Linked DNA regions of Oryctolagus cuniculus. Each later gene encodes a partner of the first gene's protein in a complex. Links are inferred from orthologs where the notes say so. Each region holds a gene or a part of one and is shown in the gene's direction. Other genes may lie near its edges.

Region 1 (9,903 bases):
CTCCCCTTTACCTTTCTCCTGGAGGGAAGGTTTTCCCCTCCTCCCTCTCTCCCTCCCTCCCTTCTTCCCTCCCTCCCTCCCTTCCTTCCTATCACAGGTCACAGAGGGGAGGGCAGATGCAGGAGCGGGTTTCGTGGGTTCTTTTCCTGAGCTCTGTATAGAAAGAAAAAGCTGGGAAGCAATTTGCAAAGAAGCAAGAACTTGTATTTGATCGACAGGCGACAGAAAAGCAACTTGTCCGAGAGGAGAGCAGGCGGGGTGCCCGTGCAGGACACTGGCTTTGAGGACGTGCCCAGGGTTTTTAAGGCATTGCTATCTTTTCACTGGGTCATTCTCTGGGGATGCCCGTTGGACAGGGGTTGGGGAAGGGTCACATACGGTATGTTGATTGGCTTGAGGCTCATGGAGGTAGCGGGGCTCTCTTGGAGACAGCCCAACTCTCTTTAGGGGCTCAGGCCCCTCTGCTAGTTCACGGTGGAAGATTGCAACTTGAAGGCGTGATTTAAAGCTACAAGGTCACACAGGCAGCACAGGAAGCTACAGTAGGGGAGATGCCGCCAGGTCTGGAGACAGGCTTTGTAGCCACAGCTGGCTACCTGCTTGTGAAGGACATTCTACCCACCTCTGGGGGCCCACAGCCCCAGCCCCACTGGACGGCTCACTTCCTTTCCTTCTCTTTCTTTCCCTTTCCCTTTCTCTCTCTCTCTCTTTCTGTCTCTCCCCCAACCTTCCTGCCCCCCCTTCCTTTCTTTGATTTATTTGAAAGGAAGAGCACCCAAGAGTGGGGGGGGGGGAGATTCCATCTGTTGGTTCATTCCCCAAATGGCCACAAAAGCTGGAGCTGGGCCAGGTCAAAGCCAGGAGCCTGGAGCTTCATCCGGGTCTCCTACAGGGGTACAGAGGGCCAAGTACTTGCACCACCCTCCACTGCTCTCCCAGGTGCATTCACAGGGAGCTGGATCAGAAGCAGGGCAGCTGAGACCCCATGGGACGTTGGCGTCATAGATGGCAGCTTAACAACTGTGCCACAACGCTGGCCCTAGGTTTCTTATACTGTACTTGTTGTCCACTCTAAGTTATAGAGACTCCATGTCCTAACAGAATTTCTGAGGAGTAGGACCAGGGTGGACTCTGTGATCAGCTCTGGGTACCAGTGAATAAAACAGCTTCATGTAGATACATGTCTGATGTCGCCGGTCAGCATCTTTATAGATAAGGAAATCTGGCTCCCTAGGCCTTGTGTCCGTCAGTAGAAGAGCCAGAGGTGGTAAATGCAGTCCCCCCCCCCCCCCCCCCCCCCCCCCCCGCCAAGACAACCAAATGTTTAAAATAATCTGATACAAACCTGTCTTTGGGGAGCAGTGGATTCTTCTCTAAACACTTTGAGGTTTTTTTATTCCCCCTTGGCAGGTCATTCTAAAACCATAAAGCACTAACCTAAAAAAGTGTGTATTTGAGGGAATGGTCCAGGAAAGTGGGCTGGGGTCTACAGACCCGTGGGTGAGAAAGCGTGGGTTGAGCAGTCCTTAGCGTCCATGATTTCCCCCGGGACTAGTCCAACCAAGCATCAATGATAAAACAAAATGCCATGTGCAGGTTTTTTTTTAAAAAAATTATTATACTTAGTGGCCAACTACACGATTACTGCAGCTCAATATTAAGGAAAAAAATTCATCTGTCACTGGTCATTTCAGCAAATCAAACCTTTCATTTTCTTGTGATCTCTGTCAGTCCTCCTCTTTGTACATTTAATTATTTTACCAATTGCACTAATAATGTACACGTGTTTTTGAGCATCGGAATTCCAAGTGTTCATAAGAGGAAATCTCGATTTTAATAACAGCCTTGATTTTCCTGAGTTCATCTGTTTGCTCACTGTTTTCTTTTGAATCTACATTTTTTTCAACAGAAATACAAAAAGCATACAACCTGTTTTTGTCTTCAAATGCCAGCGTTTTATGTGCTCTTCCCGGCTCTTGAAACCAAAGACTGAGCAAGGTTATGTCTGGGGATCTTTCCCAAACCCTGATCAAGGCCCCGTGAGGTTCCTTTGGCTCTGGGCTGCTGGAACCTCCAACAGCTGCTGCTGTGGTCGCTTCCTGGTAAGGATTGAGCAAGAAGCGTGCACAATTACTTTATGAGTCTTGATAAAGCTAAAAGGAGTTCAGCTGCGTGGTGAGTAGACCTGTTTTCCTGATTTCTGGCTATGTCACCGGCCTTAGGTTTTGTGTTGTCCTCTGGTAACAGAGGCCTCTGTTGTCACGGGAAATGAGGGCAATTTGAATAATTTAAAGCGGCCCACGGAAGTCTAAGTGGGCTCTCTACGTACAAGACCCTGTGTGCGAGCAACTGTTGTGTTTGGACAGCACACAGTTCTTCAGTTCCCTGCAACTGAAGTGACAAAACCCACGTCGCCAAATCGCGTTGATGGCTTAAGACAGTAAAAAAATGATTTTTGGTAAAAAGGCGAAATAAGGAACAATTTAGAAGGATGCCTGTGATTATTCTAAAACTAGGGTTTGAACAGCATTTATATTGTAGCTCAAGCAAGTCCAGCGGTCCCCAGAACTTTCCATCCACTCTCCCTAAGTCAGGCTAGATACCTGAACGCACGCGGACAGCAACAATTCTCAGTGCGGTCTAGTTCAGTTCGTGCGTGATTTCCCCAGTTACAGGTTGGCTCACTTGTCACGAAATCCTCTGTATCCCTTTTATAAAACCGGACCACTTTCCACCCCCCCCCCCAAAAAAAAAAGTGACTGGCAGAATCTGACATTGTAGAATCGCACGTGCCTCGTGCCTGGAGCAGGTACCTCCTGGCTGGGGTTTGCTCCCAGGCGTGCGTGCCCGGGCTGACCTCGCTCCGGGCAGGTAAACGGCCAGGAGCGAAGCAACCCCACGCTAACCCCGTGCTGGGGTTTCTCGCCTCACTTAGGAGGACTTCCCGGGGTCGGCTCTGGTCCGAAGTCCTGGCCAGCAGCAAGCCCCCCCCACCCCGCCCCAACTCCTCTGGTCGGGAAGAACTTGCTCTCGCGACCCCCTCTGCCGTCTAGTTCCAGTCGCTCCCGGCGCCCCCACCTCTCTGCCGCCCGGAACCCGGGTCCCCGGGCCACTTGCAATTCACAGCCGTGGCCCCCTCCCCGGGCGCGCGGCGGAGGCGCGGGGCCGGCGTCCCCCGGGTCCCCTGTGCGCCCCCCGGAGGGCTGGCCGGGGGGGCAGGGAAGCGCGGTGGGTGGGTGCGGGCCGGCGGGGGCGGGGCGAGGAGGAGGAGGAGGAGGAGGCGAGGAGGAGGAGGGGTGGGGAGCGCGAGCGTGTGTGGCTGGGGGAAGCCATTGCCTGTTTAATAGTTGCTGTTGCTGCACTTCCGCTTCTCTCCCAGCGAGAGCGAGACACGAGTGGCCAGGCCCAGCCGCAGCCGCAGCAGCAGCCGCCGCGGCGGCACGGAGGAGCCAGACACAAAGAGAGGTACGGGGATCCCCCCCGCCGTCCGCCGCCCCCCGGCCGCGCCGCCCGGGCCTCGGGGACGCCCGCGCCGCCCGGGCCGCCGGGCGCGGGGCCGGAGGAGGGAGGGGGGCGGCCGGGGGCGCCCCCAGGGGTCCGGGGCCCGCCCGCGGGGGATGGGCAGGGGCTCCGGGCCGCGTGGGGTGCGGGCCGCTCGCGTCGGGGCGGGGGGTGGGGGGGCATTGTGGCTCGAACTGTCAGCGCGGCCCCGGGAGCCCCCCACTGGCCGCCGAGGGGGCCGCGAGCGGGGGAGGGGGAGTCGGGGGAGCCCCGCTGTGTGTCCCCCCCCCCCCCGCCCCCAGGACGGGGGCCGGCGGAGAGGAGCCCCTCCCGGGCCGACGGGCGCATTGTTATTCCCTCGCCGCGGAGGCCGGCCCCCCCCCCCCACAGCCTCCCCTGGCCCTCCGCGGGGGGCGATCGGGCGTGTGCCCGGGACCCCGGCCCGGCTTGCGCAGCCCCGGGGGGCGGGCGACCGAGGGCCAGGCCGGCGGGGAGGGGCGTCGGGGCGCGGCGCGGGAGTGTGTGTGTGTGGGGGGGCGCTCGGGCCTCGCCGCCCCTGCCCCCACCCGGGCACCCGCTCCCCGCCCCCGGCCCCCCGTTTCGGCTTCCTCTCTCACTCCTTCCCGCCCCTGCTCTCGTCCCGACCTCGCCAAACTCCGCTCGTGGCCTCCCCCCACCCCCCGCCCCGGCCTCCTGGGCCGCCGACCCCCCGCGACCCCCGGAGAGCGGACAAAAACAGCCCCGAGGCCGGCCGCCTCCGGACCTCGCCTCCCGGCCCGGCCCTGCTTGGCCGCCTCGGCTTCCCCTTCTGGCCTGGTGGGCAGCTCGCTGGGCCCCAGACCCCTGTTCCCGCGGCCCCCACCTGGGCCCAAAACAAGCAAGCCGCGTCCGACTTGCACCAGCCTCGCTGGGCCTGCGGACTTCGGGGGAGCGCGTGTTGGGCGGTGGGCGGCGGGGGGCACCCTGGCCCGGGCGCCCCTGACGGCACCGGCCGCCTTGTTTACACCGCCTGCATGGCTTGTCTGTTTCTGTTCTGTCTCCCTCCCCGCTGCAGGGGCTGTTCGCGGGGTGGGTGGGGGGTTCGCTATGTCGGATGACGATTCGAGGGCCAGCACCAGCTCCTCCTCATCTTCGTCCTCCAACCAGCAAACCGAGAAAGAAACAAACACCCCCAAGAAGAAGGAGAGTAAAGTCAGCATGAGCAAAAACTCCAAACTCCTCTCCACCAGCGCCAAGAGGTACGTGCCCGCTTTTCCGCAGGCTCCCTGTCTCCAAGTGCCTGCCTCCCAATGCGGGCCGGCTCGGTGTGCGCGGGGCTGTGTCCCCCGAAATGAAAGACGTGGCCTTGAAAGTCCTCCTGACTGTCGCTTTCGCTGCTTGTGTTTTTCTTTTTAATTATTGTCCACTTGCGACCGTGGCGGCTTGCCTCTCTCTCCATTTCTTGCTCAAGTTTGGAAGAATCTGCATCACTTTCATTGGTGACCCTCGAATCTGGTTTCAGTTGGCTTGTCCTATTAATCAGTAATCTGTGCCCCTCCCCAAAGCTGTCATCGGGTTCTTCATACTAATAGCTGCCCAGGCAACTCTTAGCAAAATGAATTCTTGGACCATTTTCCTTTTTGGTCACCTGTTGCACAGATGATATTTTTTAATAGTGTTTTCTCTACAAATTGCATAAGGAATAAATGGCTCTCGTTAGGTGGTAAAATATATGGATGGATGAATGGATAGATGATTGATAGATAGATAGGTAGGTAGGTAGGTAAGTAGGTAGTAGATGGGACTGGTGTTGTAGCGAAGTGGGATAAAATAATGTTTGGGATACCAGCATCCCATATTGGGGTGCCTGGGATGGAGTCTCAGCACCAGCTTCCTGCTACTGCTCCCGGGGGGCTGTGGATAAAGGACCCCCAAATACCTGGGTCCTTGCCACCCCTGTGGGAGACCCAGATGGAGTTCCTGGCTGCTGGCCTGGGGCTGGACTAAGGCATGGCTGTGCAGCAATTGGGGAATGAACCAGCAGCTGGAAGACCTCTCTCTTCCTGTGCCTTCTAAATAAATACATGTTTTATTTTAAAAAAAGATTTAGTAGGTGAAGACATGCTTTCTGAAGGAATTTAAAGAGATTTTTCTGATTTGGAGGGTTGAAGCAAATGGATCAATAATGGTTGTAAAATGGTTATTTTGAGGATTCAGTTTTGCTACTAAGAATGTCTACTTACCAGATTTCGGGGAGGCATGGTTTTTTCATGCTGTTTGCTCTTAGGCTGTAAAAATGTTGCTTCACCTTTGAAGCCAAGCAGTGGCTGTTTCTTCTTCAAGTCTCTGGAGGTGACCACTTGTTAGCCCTGTCGCTGTCTTTGAGTGATACCCGTGATGCCCTTGACCCTTAAAATAATCTGTAGTAAGTTCCTGGGAACCCCCAGACACCCACTCATCAATCCTCCTGTTCTCGGCTGGTCATTAAAGTGGCTATCAGGAATCCAAGTGCTGAGTTCAGACACCTTACTTAAAGAATCTGAAATCAGATGGAATCTGGGGCTGTAGGTCTGTCCATTGAGGAGGGAGCCTGCAGTTTGTACGTGCAGAGTTTGTTCTGTCACTGAAAATTCGGTCAAGTGTTTTGGTGATTTACCCATGGGCTGATGAGGGAGTGACTTGTGCTTGTTTTACATGGCGTGGGGGTCTGGGGTTCCGTGGCAAGATGGTTCTAATTGTCAGCGGCCTGGTTTGATGCCTCTGGCCGGCGCTGATGGGAGCCTGGCTGGACAAGCCGTTCCTTAACTCCTCCCATTCCCCCAAGCCTTTAGGTTCCCTGACCTGCTCAAGGCAGGGTATTTGCTTTAGGTTGTTAGTGTTTTTATATTTTGTGGGACATCCCTGCTATATAGAAACCCTGGAATACCTGGGGGTGGGGGTGGGGTAAAGGCAGGTGTCAAATACAAAATACCCTGCTTTGGGTCCGTGAACAGTAGTGACAGGAGGATTTTTTTTCAGTAGACAGAAATTGTTAAAAAGTTGTTTGGAAATGGCTGGGATGACAGTTGGGGCTGCAAATAGTAATTTCCAATCAGTTAACATCAGGGCTTTTGTTTTTTTCCTCCAATGAATTTAACTCTCCAAGATAGCTTGCTGACCAAGTGGCTGTTGGTGTTAAAAGCAGAGCTAAGGTTAATAGCCAAAGATAAAAAATGGAGAGAGACCGTGTATCTAGGAAAGAGTAAGAGGGGAAGAAGGATGTTATTTAGTGAGAACCTGTAGAACTGCTCTGTGAAATAGAAGGGCTTGGAAGGGAGGTGTTGGTGTAGGGCCCCAAGTACCAGGAGGCACAGTGAGAAGGCAGCCCGGGTTGGCAGAGTAACCGGTTACAGCCGAACTGCATATTGGAAAGTGGTCTCCACGCCAGGGCAGAGGAAGGCCCCCTCGGACAGTGGCCTGAGCCACTGTCATTAAGCGGGTTGCTAATCTCTGGCCAGCACCGTGTTCTGGAAATGGGCAAGCACTGGCTGTCCAGATGAAGTGGCCATAGGGCTGCCCGCATCACACATTTTAGGTATTAAAGAAGCAACTACCTCTTCAGTGAAAGTTTTATAGCAGGAGTTGGGGTGGCGAGAAGTGAAGAAGCCCTGTGTTTTTCTATGCCCTGGGCTCGGGGAGGAACCTGTTGCCTGGCGCACAGCAGCAGCTGAATGAGGAGGAGAGAGGCCGGGGTGCCTGCTGTCTCGGGACACGCTGCCCCTTTCTAAAGCTGACCAGATGGGTGGGGGACAGGAAATGTCCTCCATTAGGAAGCTTTCAAGAACTTCCCAGTTGTCACCTTTCATTTCTGTCTGCTTTTAGCGTGGAGCAGACAGCGCCTTGGAAAACCCACGCCTCCTGGCAGGCAGCTAGCCTCTCTCCCTACCCTCAGAAAACCCTAGGGGAGAGAAAAGCACGCATTGTGATTCAGATCGCCGCGCGTGTGCGTGCACACGCGTGTCTTCCCTGGGCGAGATTTCTGAGTTGTGACACAGCCAGGTAGGGCCTCGCGTGGTTATAGAAATAGGCACCGCGGAGAAGGTGGGAGACGCCCGAAGGCCCCAAACTTTGTGGAAACCATTGATGCGCCTAGCTCGTAGGTGAGCCGGAGACAAAGGCCAGGCCCCTGCGAACGGCCTGCGGGCTTGGCCTGGGCGTGGGGGTGGGGCGCTGCCCAGGGAGCACCCCCGGGCCGGCCGTGTGTCCTTAAGGCGGCCCGGGCGTCGGCACGAGCGTGCGGCGCAGGCCGCGGCCGCTGCACCTGCGTGGGCCGCGGGGTGGGCGGAGAGGGGCGGCGCCGAGCGTGGCCCGCGTGGGCTCGCCGGGCCGCGCGGGTCGGGGCGCCGAGGCGCGGGCGGCGACGGCTGCTCCCCGGCGAGGCGCGCCCGCGGCCTGGGCCGCCCGGCACCACGGCGGCCAGGTCCGGAGGGCCCGAGGGGGCTGGGAGCGGCCATGTTGGCTTCGTGCCTCAGGGCGCCGGGCGGCCGGGGTCGGGGTCGGGGTCGGGCTGGTGCTGGGACCCTTTGCCTGCCGGGGTGGGCGCGATGGACCGCGGCGGGCCTAGCGGCGCAGGGCGGCCCGAGGTGGTCGCGTCCTTCCCGGGACTTGGTTCTGGGCAGAGGGGAGGCTCAGGGGAAGGAGCCGGGAGCGGGGCGCGCGGGTTGGACCCTATAAAACGATTGCCTAAAGGGAGCGCACGGAGAAGCAGGTGTGCTGGGTGTGCGCAGGCCAGGTCGGAAGCCGCCCGCCTGGGTGTGGAGTGGAGACCCCGAGCGCCGCCTCCCCGGCCTGGGCTGCGGGCCCCGGCGCCCCGCCGAGGCCGGTGGGGACGGTCGGTCGGACGCGCCCGCCGCTCTGGGCGCGCAGGTGCCAGGCTGCCAGCGCCTAACGCTGTGTTTGTCTCTTCCCGACTCCAGGATTCAGAAGGAACTGGCAGACATCACTTTAGACCCTCCACCCAACTGCAGGTGAGCTCCTTTCAGGTCGTTTCCTTCAAATTCTGCTAACCGCTGGCTTGGATTTTTTTTTTTCCCTCTTTATTGTAGTTTTTTTGCTTTAATTCTTTGCTTAACGCTTGTTTTGGTGCTTAAAAAAAATCAGTAACGGCTGAAATTAATCAACCTGGGTAATGTTTTGATGAGCCTCTGACAAGCTCTGTGGTGACTGTGGTGAAGAGAAGTCACGGATTTGTTCGGAGTGACGCTTACCTACCCGGAACAAATCCGTAAACTTAGGGATCCCCCGTGCACAGTCATGGGTCCTTCATATGCAGTTAGGGATGATGTAGAAACCTTTCAGCTGCTCGGTGCGTTTTGTTTTCGAGCACTGCTTTGCTGTAGTAACCTCTTACTCAGGTTCTGCCAAGATAGAGAGCGTAGACTTCCACACTGGCCCTCACACGCACTCCCCTGTGCACGTGGCGGGGCAATTCAGGAACTCGTTTGTGGCTTTGATGAAAAGATTCTGTTTTAAATGATAGATCTGAACGCTTCCCTGGCAGTGTTTCTCTTCGATACTGCTTCCTTCAGACTCTGATAGGTGTGTTTCAGTTTCAAAACCATCTGAACCAGTTTTTCACAGGGTTTGTTGGACTTCAGCCTCTCTAGCCATTTTGCCACTGTTTTGTTGAGTCGAGGTGGGAGACCTAATGTTGTAACAGAGCCAGTTATTCGAGGGAGATTCGTTGTTCAGTTCTGTAACTGCCAGAGTTTAAAAATGAAGTGGAACTTTGATCCTGATGATCAGTTCTCCCAATAGACATTGGATTCAGAAGCGTTCTCAACTTCTAGCAGGTGGGAGTAGAAGTTATGGACATGAAAGCATTAGGTGGTCACCCGCAGAGTTTGTGCTAACTGAAACATTGTACTTGTTGACACTGAACTTGCTAGGTTATGATCAGCGGATTAAATGGAGATTTTAATATTGCCATTCTGCATAAATTCCTCCTTAATGTTGATGAGGTGTGGGATGCTCATTGGTGAAATTTTATCCTGTTTTGTGAGGAGGGTCACCTTGGGTTTGAAATGTTGTTAAGCTGTAGGTTGCATGTAACTGGACCACTTGGACATCCTTGAGGATTTCGCTCAAGGTCAGTAGGAGTCTCTGCAGACAGTGAGAAAGTGGAGAAATGGTCCAAGACTGAGGCTTGGGGTAGTTTGCTTTCCCTTGAGTGGATCCGCCGTTGGCCTGGAAGCCCTTGCTGGCCCGGTTGGGAGCAGACGGAGGACCTTCCGCACGGGAGAGGTGTGGGCAAGGTGTGGTTCCTGTTCCTGTTCGGTGTCGTGTCTCTCCTCCGTGTGTTGCTTGTGAGTGCAGACAGCTGCAGCTTATCAAAGGAGACGGTTTTTGGAAGACTGGTTCCAAAACTAATAACATTTAATGAAA
Region 2 (10,021 bases), on another chromosome or scaffold:
ACACTTGGACATAAACAGTCAACTCTGACTCTGATTTTTCACTATTTCTAAGGAGGTCTGCAAAGTATCCTAGTGGCCTATTAGTTACATTGAGCCAAGAACAATGTGTCCTCACAAAATAGGTAATACTCCAGAGACATACTTGTTTTCCCTCTGACATTGCTTCTGCCAGCACCACCCCCCTTTTAAACTTACACTATCAGGGTATTCTAACACTATCACTTGCAACCAAAGAACTGATTTGATAATAAAAGAATTCTGAGAATTGCATTGCCCTATGGCATTCACTCACCTTACAGGTACTCTGTCAGCCAGAGGAGCAGCTGGCCAGTCGAACTGTGCGATGCGTTGCTGGAGGTTCAGGTATGGCAGGGATTTGGAATCTCCACCTGCTGTGGTCTGAATGTTTGTGCACCCCTCCCTACTTCATACATTAAAACCCAATCCCCATGGTGATCGTGTACAGAGGTGGGACCTTGGGATCCATGCCCTTATAAAAGAGATCTGAGGAAGCTCCTCTGCTTATCAAACGTGTAGGATTCACTGAGGAGTCGCCTTTGAAGAAGAAAGTCCTCACCAGATACCAAATCTGCAAACACCTTGATCTGGACTTCCCAACTCCAGAACTGTGAGCACTAAAATTCTGTTGTTTATAAATTACCCAGTCCAGGATATTTCATTACTGCTGCAGGGATGGAATTAGACACCACCCTCTGAGATTGAGTGATTATACCATAAGTTCTGGTATAAATTTCTAATCAGCAAGCGATATATGCTAGCCCTTTTTTCATACCTAGTATAAACATGCTTTTTAGAGAATCGATGGGAAGGTAGAGATGGCTCCTGTTACTATTAAACTCATTTACAGGACATTTTCTTTCCCTTCCCCAACACAGGGTTCAGCCAGTTTCTACTCAACCCTAGAAAGGGAGAACCCTTTCCACTAGGGAAAGGAAACTGACATTTGTAACTATCTCCTGCTCTCTGGCACTTCTTTAGCCACTAAGGAAATAGGCAGAGGATATTTCTACGTTAGCAGGAACTGACTTATCCCTATTACCAAGGAGAACTTGGGTTGTTGGTACCCAACAGGGACAATGAGGACTATTCCTAAAACCCAAAGTATACATTGGAGAGATTCCTCATTCTTATGGTCCAGTGACAATAGCCAGTGTGTTAGGCAGGAACATTACAGACACTGAGCCTTTAGAAGTAAAGATTTGGGTCACTTACCCCGGAAAAGAACTCTGAAATACAAAAGTACTAAGCCGGCGCCGTGGCTCAATAGGTTAATCCTCCACCTTGCGGCGCCGGCACACCGGGTTCTAGTCCCGGTTGGGGCGCCGGATTCTGTCCCGGTTGCCCCTCTTCCAGGCCAGCTCTCTGCTATGGCCAGGGAGTGCAGTGGAGGATGGCCCAGGTGCTTGGGCCCTGCACCCCATGGGAGACCAGGAAAAGCACCTGGCTCCTGGCTCCTGCCAGGATCAGCGCGGTGCGCCGGCTGCAGCGGCGGCCATTGGAGGGTGAACCAGCGGCAAAGGAAGACCTTTCTCTCTCTGTCTCTCTCTCTCACTGTCCACTCTGCCTGTCAAAAAAAAAAAAAAAAAAAAAAGAAATACAAAAGTACTGTCAGTGAAGGCTATAAGTGGCAAATTTGGTCTTACAGTTCCTACCTTGGTAATTTTCTGTAACAGTTATGCATATGTTGTGTTAATGATCTATGTGCACATTATTAGCCATACACTAAAATAACCTTGTAGAGTATGCATTAAAATCTCTGATAAGGAAAATGGATAGGCAAATAGCTGGTAAGTAGCAGTGTCAGCAATGATGGTACACCTGCCTTATTATGAAACCTATGTCTTTACTACCCCTCCTGTCAGTAGCTACTCAATGCCTGCAGGAAACAATACAGGGTTTTTAGCAATCCTTAAGATTTATGTATTTGAAAGGCATAGTGACACTCTGGCCTCAGAATCAGCCCTTAAGGCATTCAGATCTGGCTGAAAAGCCCATGAGAGTATTTCAGGCATGGAAAGCCAAGACACTCTGGGGAAAAAAAATGACCTAAATGAAAGATCTCTGAGTGAGATCCCAGTGGAAAGAACAGGTCATCAAAGGAGGAGGTACTTTTCTCTGAAGGGAGGAGAGAACTTCCACTTTGACTACAATCTTGTCTAAATATGATCAGAGTCAGTGAACTCAAAAGGCTTCCATAGCCTTGGCAACTCATCACAAGAGCTTAGGGTGATTACTGATGCCATAAACAAGAGTGTCAATTTGTTAAGTCAACAACAGCAGTCACTGTGCACTTACTCCCCATGTAGGATCTTTGTCCTTAATGTGCTGTACATTGTGAATTAATGCTATAACTAGTATTCAAACAGTATTTTTCACTTTGCGTTTCTATGTGGGTGCAAACTGTTGAAATCTTTACTTAATATATGCTAAACTGATCTTCTGTATATAAAGAGAATTGAAAATGAATCTTGATGTGAATGGAAGGGGAGAGGGAGCGGGAAAGGGGAGGGTTGCGGGTGGGAGGGAAGTTATGGTGGGGGGGGAGACATTGTAATCCATAAGCTGTACTTTGGAAATTTATATTCATTAAATAAAATTAAAAAATAAAAAAATTAAAGGCATAGTGACAAAGAACTTCTGTCCCCTGTTTCATTGCCCAAATGCCCATGATAGCTAGCCAAAGCGAGGCCAAGAGCCAAGAACTCCATTGGGTCTCCCACATGGGTGATAGAAATCTGACTATTTGGGCTTTCATCCAGTACCACATTAGCAAGAAAGTGGATCAGAAGTGCTGATTAGTAGTGGGACTCGAACCAGGCACTCTGAAGGATGTGAGCATCCAAAGAAGTGACTTAACCCACTATGCTATAATGCCTATCACCCAGAGTTATTTTCTGAGAGTCTAAAAGCTCTGATACAGGTCTCTTCTTGCTTGATTTTTAAAAAAGATTTTGAGAGGTAGAGTTAGAGAGAGGGAGGGAAGGAGGGAAGGACAGACAGAAAGGTCTTCCATCTGCTGGTTCACTCCCAAAATGGCTAGCTGGAACTGTGCAATCTGAAGCCAGGAGCTTCTTCCAGGTCTCCCATGTGGGTGCAGGGGCCCACAGACTTGGGCCATCTTCTTCTGATTTCCCAGACCATAGCAGAGAGCTGGATCAGAAGAAGAGTAGTTGGGGCACGAACCAGTACCCGTATGGGATGCCATCACCTCAGGCAGAGGCTTAGCCTACTACAGCACAGTCCTGGCCCCTCTTCTTGCTTTAGATTTTTTAAACTGTTTCCATTCTGTTTTCTGGGACTGTTTAGTCAAATCTGAGTACAGTGGCACCGTCTGACCATTAAATGTCACTTGATAGCCTTTCACTGAATATAAGTTCTGAAAAACCACTGAAAATTTCAAAGTATGAAGTTTTTTAGGTTTCCTAAGTCCATAATAAATACTAAGGAAAGTTCAACTGATATTTTTATTTTAAGTTATAAGGGACCAAAAATTCTGAGTTAGGATTGGGAACTTTCCTGGCCTTATCACTCTTCCTTTTTTCTCTTTTGCAGTTTCTGACCATGCCCCTATTAGCTGTTCGCAGCTTCTGCTTGAACCAATGCAACAATCTGTTAGCTCTATACTGCCCCTAGAATGAGGGTCTTCCTGCACCTTCCACAAACATGTATCAATGTTTTCAACGTCACCTCAAGCAAGCTGCTTCATCCATTCAGCCTCAGCACCCCTCCCCTCACATAAACCATAATAACCCTTAATCTGCCAAATTATTATGTGACTTACATAATATAACCTAACATAGCAACATTATTCTCAATAGTCAAAAGGTAGGAGGAACCCAAGTATCCAACATCAGACAAATGGATAAATAAAATGTACATACAATGGGATGTTCAGTCTTAAAAAGGAAGGAAATCCTGACATGTGATACAACATGGATGAACCTTGAGGACGTTATATTAATGAAATAAGCCAGCTGTGAAGGTACATATTCTAAAGCTGATTCCACTTATATGAGGCACCTAGAGTAGTCAAATTCATAGAGACAGAAAGCAGATGGTGATTGCCAGGGCCTGAGAGAAAGGAAATAGTAAGTTATTGTCTGGGTACAGAATTTCAGCCTGGGATGATGAAAATGTTCTGGAGCAGATGGTGGTGATGGTGCCACAACAAGGTGAATGCACTCATTGACATTCAATGGCAAACTGAAAATGGTTAAGGTGGTAAATGTCTCATATTAAAATAACATACTGTAGAATAGTGGTTTTTTTTCTATTTAACCCTACACTAAAGAGTTAATCTCATGAGTTATACAGTAAACTGAAAGATCATCCTAAAAATTGAGGGAATAAGAGGAAGGAGGGAGAGAAGGATGAGAAGTATCACTAGGTTCCTAAATCTGTAGATGAGTTACATGAAATTTGTTTTATCTTAAATATCAAAAATAAAAATGATATAACCTGAAAATATCCTTAGCTCAATGACAAGAACCCAGCTGGTGCTCAATAAAATGTCAGCTCCCTTCCTACCACTGCCCCATGTGATATCCGCCTCAGAGTCCTGAGGAATAAATCTCCCACCCCTGGAGGTCACCAGAAACATGAGTCCGATGGGAAGCAACTGTTTCGGCTGTCAGGAAGCAGGTGGTGGAGGCCTGTGAAGGAGAGAGCCAGGCATCCTTTGCATCCAAACCTCCTGAATAGCAGCTCCCAGAGGTGCACATAGCATTCAGGTACGAGGTGATGGCCGGTGTCAAAGCATCGATTTTTTTCACTAAGATAGATGACAAGGACAGGAGGAGGAGTGTACGCCCAGATGACATGTTGCTGAGGTTTAACTGGGCTGTGACAACTCCCCCGGCTTGGCTCTGTCTTCCCTCCTCCCACTTTTCTTTCTCTGCCCTGCTCCTTCTCCCCTACACCCGGTCATCCCCTGCCTCCGCCCTGACCCCGCCCAGTCTCTGCCCTGTCCCTCCCACCACCCCTCCCTCATCCTCCTCCCTGGGGCCCCTCCCCTTTCTCCTCCCACTCTCCTCCCTTTTCCGTTCAGACTGGCCTCTTAGAGGAAATTGAAAGTGAAATAGAGAGCTGTTGAATCGCCTGATCAGGTGAGTGAACCCGGCAGGACCACAGTACCCCTTCTTGCCTGGGTGGGGGAGGGTCTCTCTCCCCTGCCTCTGATTCTCTCTTCCAGCTACTCACTAACCCTAGAGCCTTCAACCCCACTGGCCCCGACTCGTTCAACCCAAGCCCAGCCATTCTTCCAGCACTGGCCGGTCTGCCTGAGAGGAGGCTGGGCTGAGTGTGACTTACAAACCACAGGGATGGGTGGAGCTCAGGCTGCTGTAGTGCAGGTACCTGAACTGGGCCAAGGGAAAAGGTGACCCTGGGTGTAAGGGAGCTGGTGGGTGCCCAGAGGAGCCCCCTGTGGAAGAATCCTCACTCTACTAAACTGGTCCCCAATCTCCTGCTAGAAAGGGAAAGGGCAGGCTGTTTAGGGTGTTCAATTAGAAACTTATTTAGGTTCAAGATTCTTTGCCCTAGAGGAAGTGCACAGACATATTCACATCTGTAGCAGAATATTTCAAAGTTAATGGAAATGGAATTTACTTTTGGTGCAAAAAATTGGAAATCCATGCACCCATTCGTAGTATACATTTTCTGTGAACTTTTTGAAGACCCCTTATGAATTTTTTAAGATTTTATTTTATTTGAAAGGCACAGTTGCAGAGGCAGAGAGAAAGACCGCATGCTCTTCCATCTGTTGGTTCACTCCCCAAAGGCTGCAGTGGTGGAGCTGAGCTTATCAGAAGCCAGGAGCCTACTGTTTCTTCCAGGTCTCCCATATGGGTGCAGGGGCCCAATGACTTGGGCCATCTGCTTTCCCAGGCCATAGCAGAGAGCTGGATCGGAAGTGGAACTAGCACCTATATGGATTGCAGGCAGCGGCTTTACCCACTATGCTACAGTGCCACCCCCCCCATGAATTTTTATGTATTTCATATATATGGGAGTAGAACAGAGAGAGACTCTTGCCATTATATTGAACAGTAGTGAAGATATTATACAAAGCACATAGCTCCTCTCTGACACATAGAAAGCACCTGGTAAATGACTGCTCATACTATGATTACCTCCTCCAACCTAGGCTCTGAGGATGTAACCCAGATGGACATGATGAAGTAGAATTGTCAGCAGACTTATCTGAGTCTCTCCCCCGTTTTCTCCTCGTTGGAGGACTCTGTCTCCCTTCTTCCAACAGGATCACTGGGCCAGACTGTGGAGGAGAGGCTCCTGCTGTTTGGGTTGATGTTCTTGTCTTCTCTTGCTTGGCACCACCAGCTCATCTTGTTTTCCTTTGCATTATTGTGTTCCTGTCATGCAGATCTCTTCTTTTCTGTTCCTTCTTCCCCCACCAGAGCACCCCAAGGTCTGCACAGTGCTGCCCAACAAGGACTGTCACTCCCATGGCTTCTGCAACGCCCCTGGCAATGATGTGGGAGGAGGTCACATGTGCCATCTGCCTAGATCCCATGGTGGAGCCCGTGATCATTGAATGCGGTCACAGCTTCTGCCAGGAATGTATCTCTAATGTTGGGAAAGATGGGGGTGGTATCTGTCCTGTGTGCCGGAATCACTTTCTGCTCAGGAACCTCCGGCCCAATCGGCATCTAGCCAACGTGGTGGACAACCTTAAACAAAACAGCCAGGCTGCCAAGGATGAGCCACAAGGGCAGCGGTGTATGATACATGGAGAGAAACTTCACCTGTTCTGTGAGGAAGATGGGCAAATCCTCTGCTGGGTGTGTGCCCAATACCAGAAACACCGTGAGCACCACACAGTCCCTATTGACGCGGCTGCTCAAGAGTACCAGGTGAGGCCTTCGCAGAGACATGGACAGATCCAAAGGAGAGGGGCTGGGTGAGTTTTGTTACCTCTGGAGTTCAGAGGTTGGGAAAAGAGGGATACTTTCCTCCTTTCATGTCCAGTCTAAACACAACCTTCTCATTAGAGTAGTGGATACACTCTGTGCAAATGCTATGAAGTCCATGTTTCCTTGTGGACTCCTGATAAATTAGGTGTGAGAAATGCCCTCATCCTGCCATGCCAGTAGTTCTTTTTTTTTTTTTATTTTTTGACAGGCAGAGTGGACAGTGAGAGAGAGAGACAGAGAGAAAGGTCTTCCTTTGCCGTTGTTTCACCCTCCAATGGCCGCCACGGCCGGCGCGCTGCGGCCGGCGCACCGCGCTGATCCGATGGCAGGAGCCAGGAGCCAGGTGCTTTTCCTGGTCTCCTATGGGGTACAGGGCCCAAGCACCTGGGCCATCCTCCACTGCACTCCCTGGCCACAGCAGAGAGCTGGCCTGGAAGAGGGGCAACCAGGACAGAATCCGGCGCCCCGACCGGGACTAGAACCCGGTGTGCCGGCGCCGCTAGGCGGAGGATTAGCCTAGTGAGCCGCGGCGCCGGCCAGTAGTTCTTTTTTGTAAGACGCATGATTTGGGCTTTTTCCACAGTCTGCCTATCCACCAAATGCCTACCCTAATCAGACCCCAGTCCTCCCTCCTTCTCTGTGTTTAGGCTTTATTGAAGAACCAGAATGATCATCTCCCACCCCAAGCCACTCCACCCTACTTCTTGGTTTCGTTGGGATTAACCTGTTACTTTGTTTTTGGCAGGAAAAGCTCCAGGTGGCATTAAAAAAGCTAAGATGCCAGCAGGAGTTGGCAGAGAAGTTGGAAATAGATGTTGCAATGAAGAGAGCAGAGTGCAAGGCAAGAGACACTTCTTGATGGGGTGGGGGGGGGTCAGAAGGCTGGGCAAAGTCCAGGGTCCTAGTATCAAGAAAGCCTTAACCTGAGCTATGTCTGAGAATGATAATTGCCATATCACACCCTCTGGGAACCAGCCATCCTCTTAGTCTCCAAATAGAGAAGAAAAAAAAAAAAAAAAGGAGAGGCTCACAGGAGAACTCCCAATCAGGAACAAAGAGAATTATTGAACAACTGTTCTGCGAGGGCCAAGCTACATCCTAGGGCTCCCTGCTCCTCTGAGCCCAGACTCAGGGTATGTATGACAGCATCAGAACCTCAGTGTCTGGAGCAGGGGTATTCCAAGAGAGAAGCCCCACTGCTATGCCTTTAAGGAGATGAGAGGAGCTACAAGGAGCAGACCTCCAGGATCCATCCAGGCCTGAGATGGAAAAACCAATCTGAACAGGTGGTGGCATCACTGTGCCGAGGCCACTGGTTGAAAGCATAATGCAGAAGTAAAGCTTGTTCACCACTGGTGACTTGCTAGTACAGGGGAGGTGTGAAGAGTGAAAGGAACTCGAGGCTAACGGGCTCCCGGAAGAGAGGTCTGGGAGTGGGGAAGGGTAAGTCAGGATTTGGTGGCACAGGGGGCCATCCTACATCATGAGCTGACCATCCAGTTACCAGCAGGAGAAGGTGAGCAGAGAGTGTCCCAAAGTCACCCTCTGCCAGGACTTGGGAATAGCACTGTGAGCCCATCTCTGTGAAACCTCTGGGAATGGTTGAATATCAGATATGACTGATATTCAAACACAGATCTGGGTGATAACTGCCTTTTGGAATAGAGGTTGAAGAACATCTCTGATACTAAAGGTTGATGCAGCTGGGGTGTAGGCCAGCGACAACATGCCAGCACCAATCATACTCTGTTTAGTCCCCAAAGCCTCACCCACCTATCTCCTCAGCAAAGGGTGTGTGTGTGTGTGTGTGTGTGTCTGCCTATTCACTTGAGTCTCCAGGTGACAGAAATAGGTTTCAACTTCTACCCCCAAAGCCTGGGAGATTTTCACAGAAACCTCCTCTATCTTTCCCTGGACACCAAAGACAAAGGTTGAGATGCACAAGTCCAGGATTCATGCAGAGTTTGTGCAGCAGAAAAACTTCCTGGCTGAAGAGGAACAGAGGCAGCTGCAGGCACTGGAGGCAGAAGAGAGGGAGCAACTGAGAATCCTAGGGGAAACAGAGGCTGACCTGGCCCAGCAGAGCCAGGCCCTACAGGAGCTGATCTCAGAACTAGAGCGGAGGAGGCGGGGCTCGCCGCTGGAGCTGCTGCAGGTGAGACTGGGAGTTGGGCCCAGAGAATAAGCGAAAAAAGCTAGAACTCTGTAGCTACCATTAACCCAAAGGCAAACCTGGTGTCCGTAATATTCTCATTTAAAACAAACTGGAATTTGGACCCATACATGGTTTGCATTCAATCTATAGAAGAGCCCAGAATTAGGAGGGAATGGTCCATCCGGCAATTAACAGATGTGGACATCCCAGGTCAGTGTTCATTCTAACACGTACCAACTATGAAACCCTAAGAAAGTTCTTTCATCTTTCTGAGCACTGGGTTTCTCATATTTTAAATGGATATTTGGAACTGGCATTGTGGCACAGCAGGTTAAGCAACCCTCTCTGATACTGGCATCCCATATGGGCACCGGTTCTAATCCTGGCTACTCTACTCCAGATCCAGCTCCCTGCTGATGTGCCTGGGAAAGCAGTGGGAAACTACCCAAATCCATGGGAGACCTGGACTTCTAAGCTTCTAACTTTGGCATGACACAAGCCATTTGGGAAATGAATCAGCAGATGGAAGATCTCTCTCCTCTTCCCTCTCTCTGCAATTCTGTCTTTCAAATAAATCTTTTAAAAAATGATGAAATCCACTAAAGCTCTTATATAAGTGTCTACCCATGGGAAGGTTTTAATAAATGTGATAGAACTGAAAACAATGAATGGAACATTGAGACTAGCTGCCAAGTCTCCATTACTCTAGGTTAGGTCATTTTCCTTTCCTGGACCCAATACATTTGCCTCACTTTGGGAAACTGCGGATTAAATGGTCCCAGAAGTCCTTTCTGCTCTAACGTTCTTACCATTCCCTTCTAGTGTGAAAAGGCTGATTGTTCTGACTTGACTTGACAGGCTCTCTTTCACCCGACTTTCAAGTAGGCTTCAAGTACACTCTTGAGTGGGCCTT
Region 3 (9,284 bases), on another chromosome or scaffold:
TTTAAAAAAAAAAAAAAAAAGCCGGCACCGCGGCTCACTAGGCTAATCCTCTGCCTTGCGGCGCTGGCACACCGGGTTCTAGTCCCGGTTGCCCCTCTTCCAGGCCAGCTCTCTGCTGTGGCCAGGGAGTGCAGTGGAGGATGGCCCAGGTGCTTGGGCCCTGCACCCCATGGGAGACCAGGATAAGTACCTGGCTCCTGCCATCGGATCAGCGCGGTGCGCCGGCTGCTGCGGCCGTTGGAGGGTGAACCAACGGCAAAGGAAGACCTTTCTCTCTGTCTCTCTCTCACTGTCTACTCTGCCTGTCAAAAAAAAATTTAAAAAAAAAAAAAAAAAAAAAAAAAACCAGCAATATACTAGCATCTCCAGTCACGGTATATGGGAATTGAGTCTTCATATACATTTAATGTTTCTTTTTTTAATATTTATTTATTTATTTGAAAGTCAGAGTTAGAAAGAGAAGGAGAGGCAGAGAGAGAGAGAGAGAGAGGTCTTCCATCCGCTGTTTCACTCCCTAATTGGCTGCAACGGCCAGAGCTGTGCTGATCTGAAGCCAGGAGCCAGGAGCTTCCTCCAGGTCTCCCATGTGCATGTAGGGGCCCAAGGACTTGGGCCATCTTCTACTGCTTTCCCAGGCCATTGCAGAGAGCTGCATTGGAAGTGGAGCAGCCGGGTCTTGATACTGGCACCCATATGAAATGCCAACACTGCAGAGGCGGTGACTTTACCTGCTACGCCACAACACTGGCCCCTTAATGTTTCCATTGCTGCTTTTTGTACTGTATAAGTTGAGAATCAGGTGTGTGAATGAGAACAAGTCACACAGCTTTCATCCTCTCAGCGATCAGTTTCCTTTTTCCTGTAGGTGCGGTGAGAAGTAAAGGCCCTGTTGTCCAGTATACACAGGATCTGACCAGTACTGGGACCCAATTCAAGCCAATGGAGCCCCCACAGCCTACAGCCCCACCTGCCCCACCCATCCCACCTACTTCACCTCTGTCGCCTCAAGCAGGTGACGCTGAGTGAGTGCTATTTCTTGTTTTTTTTTTTTTCCTTCAGTTTCTTTCATATTACATTTCCTGCATCCCTTACTATATGATCTATTCTCGAATCTCCTAGAAGCTTGGAAAGCCAGCTTGCTCAATCACGGAAGCAGGTAGCCAAAAAGAGCACATCCTTTCGACCAGGATCTGTGGGCTCTGGTCATTCCTCCCCTACATCCCCTGCACTCAGTGAAAGTGCCCCTGGTGGGAAACCTGCAGTCAACCAGACGTATAGGTGAGAAAAAGCTTGGGTTGTCAGGGGGCAGGTTGGCGATATGAGCTGAGTAGAAAGTCCTTGGCTCCAAGGGGGTTAGGTTAAGGGTGTGATGGTAAGGAGTTTGGACTTAAAAAGGAAGCTTTCGCTTTAGAAGCTTTTTAGAAAGTAAGAATAATTGAATTAGGAACTTGGTACCTGGAAATATGTAATCACCAGTAGGCTTTTAATAAAACTTGTGTTTTCTTTTTTAAAGATTTACTTATTTAGTTGTTTGAAAGATAGCTACAGAGAGAAAACAAAAGGGGAAGGATCTTTCATCTGTTGATTTACTCCCCCAATGGCCTGGGTTGGGCCAAGCTATCACCAGAAGCCAGCAACTCCATCCTGGCCTCCCATGTTGGTGGCAAGGGCCCAGACACTTAGGATATCTGCCAGTGCCTTCCTAGATGTGTTAGCAGGGGGCTGGATCACCAACAGAGCAGCTGGGACTCTTAACTGGTGCTCTGATAGTGGATGCCAGTGTCACAGGTGGTGGCTTAACCCACAGCATCACAATTTCAGCCTGTTTGTTAAACTTCTTGCTATCATTGCTGTAATAGAAAGAAAATACTGTAGTCTCTTTCCTTGAATCCTAGGAGCTATTAAGGACTTTGGTAGAAGACTGACTTCTTCTTCCATAATTCACGGGCAAATACATTTTAGGAAAAGGTGTACTGTTGAAAGAGAGAGAGATAGCTATCAGTCAGTGACAAGTAACCAATTTTCATTATTCAGGTTTGTTACGGCAAGGCAAGATCTGACTTTCTTGTGTCATCATTAGTGTTAAGGGCACAGCTACTTAAAAGATGAAAGAAATGGCTTCGCGAGCTGGAGGGGTATTTATACAGTACGAACACCCTGGTTGCCTTCTTACCTCATCTTTTGCATCTCATTTGCAGGTCACCTTTAGGTTCATCAGCCTCTGCCCCAGCACCCCCGGCTCCTCCAGCACCCCCAGCACCCCCAGCACCCCCAGCCTTCCATGGTATGCTGGAGCGGGCCCCTGCAGAGCCCTCCTACCGTGCCCCCATGGAGAAGCTTTTCTACTTACCTCACGTCTGCAGCTATACTTGTCTGTCTCGGATCAGACCTATGAGGAATGAGCAGTACCGGGGCAAGAACCCTCTGCTGGTCCCACTACTGTACGACTTCCGGCGAATGACAGCCCGGCGCCGGGTTAATCGCAAAATGGGCTTTCATGTTATCTATAAGACACCCTGCGGCCTCTGCCTTCGGACAATGCAGGAGATTGAACGCTACCTTTTTGAGACTGGCTGTGACTTCCTCTTTCTGGAGATGTTCTGTTTAGATCCATATGTTCTTGTGGACCGGAAGTTTCAGCCCTATAAACCTTTTTACTATATCTTGGACATCACCTACGGGAAGGAAGATGTTCCCCTATCCTGTGTCAATGAGATTGACACAACTCCTCCACCACAGGTGGCCTACAGCAAGGAACGGATCCCTGGCAAGGGTGTTTTCATTAACACGGGCCCTGAGTTTCTGGTCGGCTGCGACTGCAAGGATGGGTGTCGGGACAAGTGAGTTGGTGGAGGAATTGCTGCTCCTGCCACAGTTTCTTGTGGTTGCCTTTCTTTTCACTTCTTTTGCTTTCTGTCGGTATTGCTTTCTCCACCTCCCTTCACCTCCTTCCTCAGCAGGAACTCCAGCCTTAAGGCCACCATGAAAGCTGTGAGGTAGGGAGACTGAAGTCCAACAGGCCCCAGTGAGTAACCCCGGGTACCTGTGCTTTATGTTGTTTCTGATTTATTTATTTATTTAAAAGGAAGGGTGACAGAGGAGAGAACTTCCATCTAGTTAACTCCCAAAATGGCTGCAGTAGCTGGGGCTCGACCAGGTAACAGCCAGGAGCCAGGAACTCCATCTTGGTGTACTATCAGGGAGCTGGACTGGAAATGGAGCAGCTCTGAAATGGAATGCTGGCGGCAGCTTGACTCTCTGTGCCATCCTGCTGGTCCCTGTTTGCTTCTCTGATTCTCCCCCTTTTCCTGTTTCTCTCCATCATACTTCCAGTTGCCACTTTGTTTCGTTCTGTCTCTGTTTTATTCTCACTCTGCCTGTTTGTTTCATTCTATCTCCTTGTCTTTCTCTGTTGGTACTCTGAGAAAAAAAGAAATTTATTACTACATCTCCATCCTTTTATTATTTCTCAACACTGTAGTTGTCATATCCTTCTTACACAGGTCTAAGTGTGTCTGCCATCAGCTAACTATCCAGGCTACTGCTTGTACCCCAGGGGGTCAGATCAACCCTAACTCTGGCTACCAGTACAAGAGACTAGAAGAGTGTCTGCCCACAGGGTAAGTGTCAGGGGATTGGCTACCTCAGAGATTGAAGAGCATTTTCTTATTTTTCTGTGCTTAAAGGAACCATCAGAAATATAAAAATTGGAACAAAAAATAGAATACAGAAACAGATATTTTATTAATTTTAAATTTATATAGCATGTTTTTTCTTTTGGCTTTCTTTGAAATGAGAATATAGAATGATTGAGTAGTATCTAGTAATTTCTTGTTGTGGGAAATGATCTTAATTTCATAGCTGTATGAATGCATTAACCAAGTGTGATTTACTATAGCAAGTGAAATGTGTTCAAAGAAGTAAGCAGGGATTTGATTATATAGGGCTTTGTAAGCTAGAATAAAAAATTAGAATCAAGTTTATGGTACAGTAAGAAGGATTTTGGAGGATTTTAAGCAGGCAAGTGATGTGATCTGCCTTTTCAGGGTGACTCTGGCTCCTTTGCAGAGCATATTTCTTAGGGCAACAAAAGCAGGATTTGCAAGACAGGTTAGGGGATGATTACAGGAATATAGGCAAGGGAAAGGTAGTAGTGAGTGGAGTTTATACTAGAATGAAGGTGGCAGTGGAGATGAAAGATTTGGGATGCCTTAGGAGGTGAGCTACAGAACTTGGTAGATGGACTGGCATAGGAGGGAAGGAATGGAATCAAGGACAATTTCTAAATTTGCTTGAACAACTAAGTAGATGTTGTCACCTTTTACTGAAGGATGGGTGTCAGGACAAATGAGTTGAAATTTGAGTGAAATTCAGCTTTTGTTTTGGTCATCTTAAATTTTAGAAACTTCTTGGGGAATCTAAGTGGAAATGTCAAGAGGCAATGGAATTTTCTGGAAAGAGGTATGGGAGCTGGACAAAAAGGTTTAGTGATTATCAGCACAAATGTAATATTTAAAGCTTGCACGTGTTCCCCTGGAGAGAATGTTGACAATAGAGAAGGAGGCCCAGGAATAAGCCCTGGGTGCTCCAACATTGGGTGGGTGAGCAGAGGAGGTGAGGCAGCATGAGAGACAGAGAAGGACAGGTCAGAGAAAGGACAGACAACAGAAGAGAAGGAGGTGTCGTGGTAAGTTGGTGTATATGAACATGTGACTAACAGATCCAGTGTGCAGATATATAATTAACAGAAGAGGAGAAAAGCATTGATTAAATAGTTTAGAAATTTGGTCATAATTGAAAAGTGTGTAATTCCCAATTTAAAGGGCCAATGAGGTCTTAGCATAATAAGTGTAAATAAATTCCACTGAGATAGGAAAAAAATGAGAACACTGAGGATAAAGAACAAATCCTAAAAGCCTCTAGAAGAGTGAAATAGACCACATTAAAAAATAGATTTGGGGGCCAGCGCTGTGGTGTAGCGGGTAAAGCCGCTGCTTGCATTGCCAACATCCCATATGGGCGCTGGTTCAGATCCTGGCTGCTACACTTCTGATCCGGCTCTCTGCTATGGCCTGCAAAAGCAGTGGAACACGGCCCAAGGTCTCGGGCCCTGCACCTGCGTGGGAGACCTGGAAGAAGCTACTGACTCCTGGCTTTGGATTGGTCCAGCTCCAGCTATTGTGGCTATTTGGGGAGTGAACCAGTGAATAGAAGACCTCTCTGCCTCTGCCTCTGCCTCTCTGTAACTTTGTCTTTCAAATAAATAAATAAATCTTAAAAAAGTTTGAAATTCTAGCCTTTCCAAAATAACACAGGAAGCTAGAGGGCAATTAATTATTCAAAATTCCAAAGGAAAATTATTTCCAACATAGAATTCTAAACTCAATTGTTAAAATAGGCTAAGGATATTTTTTAGATGCACTGTAAAGTTGTTCATTATTTTTCTTTTCAAAAAGTACTAACAAAAGGAAGGGAAGAAAAAGTTACTGGCCATATTTACCAAAATGAGGAGAAAAACCCAAGAAGAGGGAGGTATACAGTTCAGGGGACACAGAGTACAACTCAAAAGAGGAGCATAGGAAATCCCCCCAGATGATAGTGGGGGGAAGGAGGACATCCAGCTGACAGCCTATAGCCAGTGCCAGTGCAGGAGAGCAGGGATCTCAGAGGAGATTGAGACTACTGCGGAGACGGGGTGAATTTGTGTGAAATATATAGACAGCTAAGCAAGGGAAAGACAGTTACTAATTTTAGATTACTGGTTTTTTTTTTTTTTTTTTTAATGGATTGATTTGAAAGAGTTACAGAGAAGCAAAGGCAGAGAGAGAGAGAGCTTCTATCCACTGGTTGGATGGAAGATCCAAAGAAGATCCCCAAATGGCCGCAACAGCCAGAGCTGCACCTCTCCAAAGTCAGGAGCTGCTTCAGGTCTCCCACGTGGGTAGCACTTGGGCTGTCTTCTGCTGTCGAGGGCCATAGCAGAGAGCTGGATCAGAAGTGGAGTAGCCGGGTTTTGAACCAACACCCATAAGGGATGCCAGCGCTGCAGGCAGCAGCCCCTTTATATTTTAATTTTAAATTCTGTATCTTACAATAATGCTTAGATTTCATAATGCTGGTAATTACATGGTGTTCATTACATCTTTTTTACATGTTTAATGCATAAAATTTTTTAATAACCACAATGTTACTCCCCTGCTTAAAAACTCTTAAATAGCTTCCCACTGCATTTGGAATTTTATTCTCTTAACCGTGGGTTATAAAATCCTGTACTACCTCCCCTCCCCCATCCTCACTCCTTCCAGAGTTGCTCCAGCTACGCTGATGTTCTTCAAGGTTCCTGGATTCAGTTCACCCCATGTGTCCCGCCTGCCTCTGGGGCCTTTGTACATGCTGTGCCCTCTTCTTGGCATCCTTCCACTGTTCTTTAACCTTGAGCTCTCAGTTTTAAACTCACCTCCTCAGAAACATCTTCCCTGGTCACTCTAAATCTAAGTTTCACCCCCTTAATTCTCTCACTGAACTTCATGTGTGTGTTCTTTATAGCATTTATGACAATTTCATTTGTTGACTGGATTTTCTCTTTTCCATTAGAAGGCAGAGGCTCTGTCTTGTTCACCATTGTATCACAGGAGCTAGCTTACCCAGTGTCTGGCACATGGTAATGGTTCCACAAAAGGAATGAAAGATACTTAGCATTACTACTCTGAAGAGTTATTGGTAGTAATTAGGGCTGGCGCCGTGGCTCAATAGGCTAATCTTCTGCCTTGCGGCACCAGCACACCGAGTTCTAGTCCCAGTCGGGGCGCCAGATTCTGTCCTGGTTGCCCCTCTTCCAGGCCAGCTCTCTGCTATGGCCCGGGAAGGCAGTGGAGGATGGCCCAAGTGCTTGGGCCCTGCACCCACATGGGAGACCAGGAGAAACACCTGGCTCCTGCCTTCAGATCAGCACGGTGCGCCAGCCGCAGTGGCCATTGGAGGGTGACCCAACGGTAAAGGAAGACCTTTCTCTCTGTCACTCTCTCACTGTCCACTCTGCCTGTCAAAAAAAAAAAAAAAAAAAAAAAGTAATTAGACCTGAGTTCAGGTTCTGGTCTTCCACTTTGGAGCTAATCCTGTTATCAGCTATAAATAGGAGATATTAATACTGACACCCACACTCTATCCCCAAAGGGTTTTAAATGACCTAACAGACTCTTTCTTTATCTGGTGCTGGTTAACACAGTATGTTTAGTCTGAAAATCCATTGACTATGAACTTTTCTGTATATTTTTCTTATGTATATTATACTTTGAAAATCTTCTTTAAAAACTTTTAAAAAATACCATTATAGCACTGCTTTGAAGATAGATAGAATAAGAGAGTGTAAATTATGCAATTTACATAGCAACAAAACAAAGTGTATGTTCAGTAAGTAGAACTGCTCTTACTGTCTTTATCCAGAAGGATGTGACTAATGTCATTAGCCAAGAAATTGTTTTATTATCCTCTTCCCAAAAGTAAATGTCTCCCTGCAATTTATACCAAGAAGTATAATCCTAACAGTGAGCAAAGCAAATCAAGCAGAAGCATTGGTACCCGTAACATTTCCAGTCTTATCAGCATAGCTGTTTTCTTCCTTTAATGTTCATATTTGCTAGATCCCTCTGATTAACTTTAATAGTTTGTTTTAAAAGTAATTAAGTTGTTAAATTCTTCAACTGATTAATTCCTTTAAGGTAGAGATTATGACCTCTTTGATTATTCCCAGTGTCTAGCACAACTATTATTATTTAATAAGTGTTTACTGAATGATATGATGAAAACCAACTTTACCAAAGAAAAGTCCCCATAAACATCCATACCACCTTCTCTTTTCTCTTTAGACATTATATGTGTGTGTGTATAATATATATATATTGATATATATATATATATATAAAATCAGTATATCAGCCTCTGCTTTTCTTACGTATCTTTATGCATCTTTTTTCTGAAAATTGACGGACTCTATATACTTATTTTAGTGGCTCTGTAATCTGTATTCACGTCATGGTTTTCTTAGCCTCTTTCCAGGTGTTAGGAATTCTGGCATTCACTATTAGAACACTGCTATAAACATCGTTAATTCCCTTCTAAGTTATTTCTGTGAGCTATATTCCCAAATAAATGAAACAGCATAGACAGTTCAGTAAATCCACTCAGATCATTACCTAATTTTTAATCTTTACCCAGGACACATTGTAAGTAATGATAGCTTAAGAATTATAACTGTTTTGTGCGTTTCTATTGCTCATCTCATGGTTGATCTTTCTAATCTCCCAGGGTATATGAGTGTAACAAACGCTGCAAATGTGACCCAAACATGTGCACAAACCGGTTGGTGCAGCATGGACTACAGGTTCGCCTACAGCTATTCAAGACACAGAACAAGGGCTGGGGTATCCGCTGCTTGGATGACATTGCCAAAGGCTCTTTTGTTTGTATTTATGCAGGTTGGTGATGGATATAAAGGTTGTTTCCTGGGTCTGGGATGTGGTGGGGAAATGAACCAGATGCAAGTTGAGCTTACGAATAATGTGCTGGACATGTGAACTGAGAGAGAGAGGAGCCAGGGCTCGCTTCTGTAGAGAACCTGTGGAGGTTCACAGAGAGGGACACAGGGCTTTGGAAAGACAGAAATAAAAAAGGGGTAATGTTTTAGACGTGATGATGTTCCAGGGGAGAGACATGATTGCAGAGTCCAATGTATTGTCCTCCCACGTTTCTCCACCCAAAGATTTTTTTTTTTAGCATGGCTGAGAACTGTTGTTAAAGAGGAGGAAATGGGCCGGCGCCGCGGCTCACTAGGCTAATCCTCCGCCTAGCAGCGCTGGCACACCGGGTTCTAGTCCCGGTCGGGGCGCCGGATTCTGTCCCGGTTGCCCCTCTTCCAGGCCAGCTTTCTGCTGTGGCCAGGGAGTGCAGTGGAGGATGGCCCAGGTGCTTGGGCCCTGCACCCCATGGGAGACCAGGAGAAGCTCCTGGCTCCTGCCATCGGATCAGCGCGGTGCGCCGGCCGCAGCATGCCAGCCGCGGCGGCCATTGGAGGGTGAACCAACGGCAAAGGAAGACCTTTCTCTCTGTCTCTCTCTCACTGTCCACTCTGCCTGTCAAAAAATAAAAATAAAAAAAAGAAGAGGAGGAAATGGGAGGACAGAGAGGACAAGATTAAAGCTACAGTAAAGGAGGTATCATCGAAGAGAGACACAAGAGACCAAAATGTAGGCATTTTACCTCTGTGCTGGAGCACTGGGTGTGGGTGG

The links.
Region 2: the proteins of UBE2E1 (region 1) and TRIM21 are in contact, whole or in part, in a crystal structure (PDB 6FGA), measured with the Homo sapiens proteins. The link is inferred for Oryctolagus cuniculus from reciprocal best matches to the Homo sapiens genes UBE2E1 and TRIM21. Residues at the interface, in NP_003332.1 of Homo sapiens: Lys43, Lys50, Arg51, Lys54, Pro107, Phe108, Asn138, Trp139, Ser140, Pro141, Ala142, Thr144; in NP_003132.2 of Homo sapiens: Pro17, Ile18, Cys19, Leu20, Asp21, Glu38, Cys39, Gln42, Val43, Pro52, Arg55.
Region 3: the proteins of UBE2E1 (region 1) and SETDB1 are in contact, whole or in part, in a crystal structure (PDB 8IYA), measured with the Homo sapiens proteins. The link is inferred for Oryctolagus cuniculus from reciprocal best matches to the Homo sapiens genes UBE2E1 and SETDB1. Residues at the interface, in NP_003332.1 of Homo sapiens: Asn125, Ser126, Gln127, Val129, Cys131, Leu132, Lys136, Asp163, Pro164, Leu165, Val166, Gly167, Ser168; in NP_001138887.1 of Homo sapiens: Glu868, Gly869, Tyr870, Glu871, Ser872.

Annotation. Positions count from the first base shown.
Region 1 is NC_091435.1:159,710,661-159,720,563, forward strand, and holds the start of UBE2E1 (ubiquitin-conjugating enzyme E2 E1), read left to right. Parts: upstream 1-3,644; intron 3,645-3,891; coding exon of another isoform or gene 3,892-4,317; intron 4,318-4,403; coding exon of another isoform or gene 4,404-4,483; intron 4,484-4,555; 5' UTR 4,556-4,587; coding exon 4,588-4,739; intron 4,740-8,435; coding exon 8,436-8,486; intron 8,487-9,903. Other genes in the region: basic salivary proline-rich protein 2-like, read left to right, coding at 3,054-3,644, 3,892-4,317, 4,404-4,483. UniProt on the Homo sapiens protein: Accepts ubiquitin from the E1 complex and catalyzes its covalent attachment to other proteins. Catalyzes the covalent attachment of ISG15 to other proteins. Mediates the selective degradation of short-lived and abnormal proteins.
Region 2 is NC_091432.1:62,635,759-62,645,779, forward strand, and holds the start of TRIM21 (E3 ubiquitin-protein ligase TRIM21), read left to right. Parts: upstream 1-4,967; 5' UTR 4,968-5,126; intron 5,127-6,437; 5' UTR 6,438-6,485; coding exon 6,486-6,893; intron 6,894-7,698; coding exon 7,699-7,794; intron 7,795-8,877; coding exon 8,878-9,108; intron 9,109-10,021. UniProt on the Homo sapiens protein: E3 ubiquitin-protein ligase whose activity is dependent on E2 enzymes, UBE2D1, UBE2D2, UBE2E1 and UBE2E2.
Region 3 is NC_091438.1:47,128,754-47,138,037, reverse strand, and holds part of SETDB1 (histone-lysine N-methyltransferase SETDB1), read left to right. Parts: intron 1-865; coding exon 866-1,022; intron 1,023-1,119; coding exon 1,120-1,278; intron 1,279-2,198; coding exon 2,199-2,840; intron 2,841-3,503; coding exon 3,504-3,620; intron 3,621-8,304; coding exon 8,305-8,474; intron 8,475-9,284. UniProt on the Homo sapiens protein: Histone methyltransferase that specifically trimethylates 'Lys-9' of histone H3. H3 'Lys-9' trimethylation represents a specific tag for epigenetic transcriptional repression by recruiting HP1 (CBX1, CBX3 and/or CBX5) proteins to methylated histones.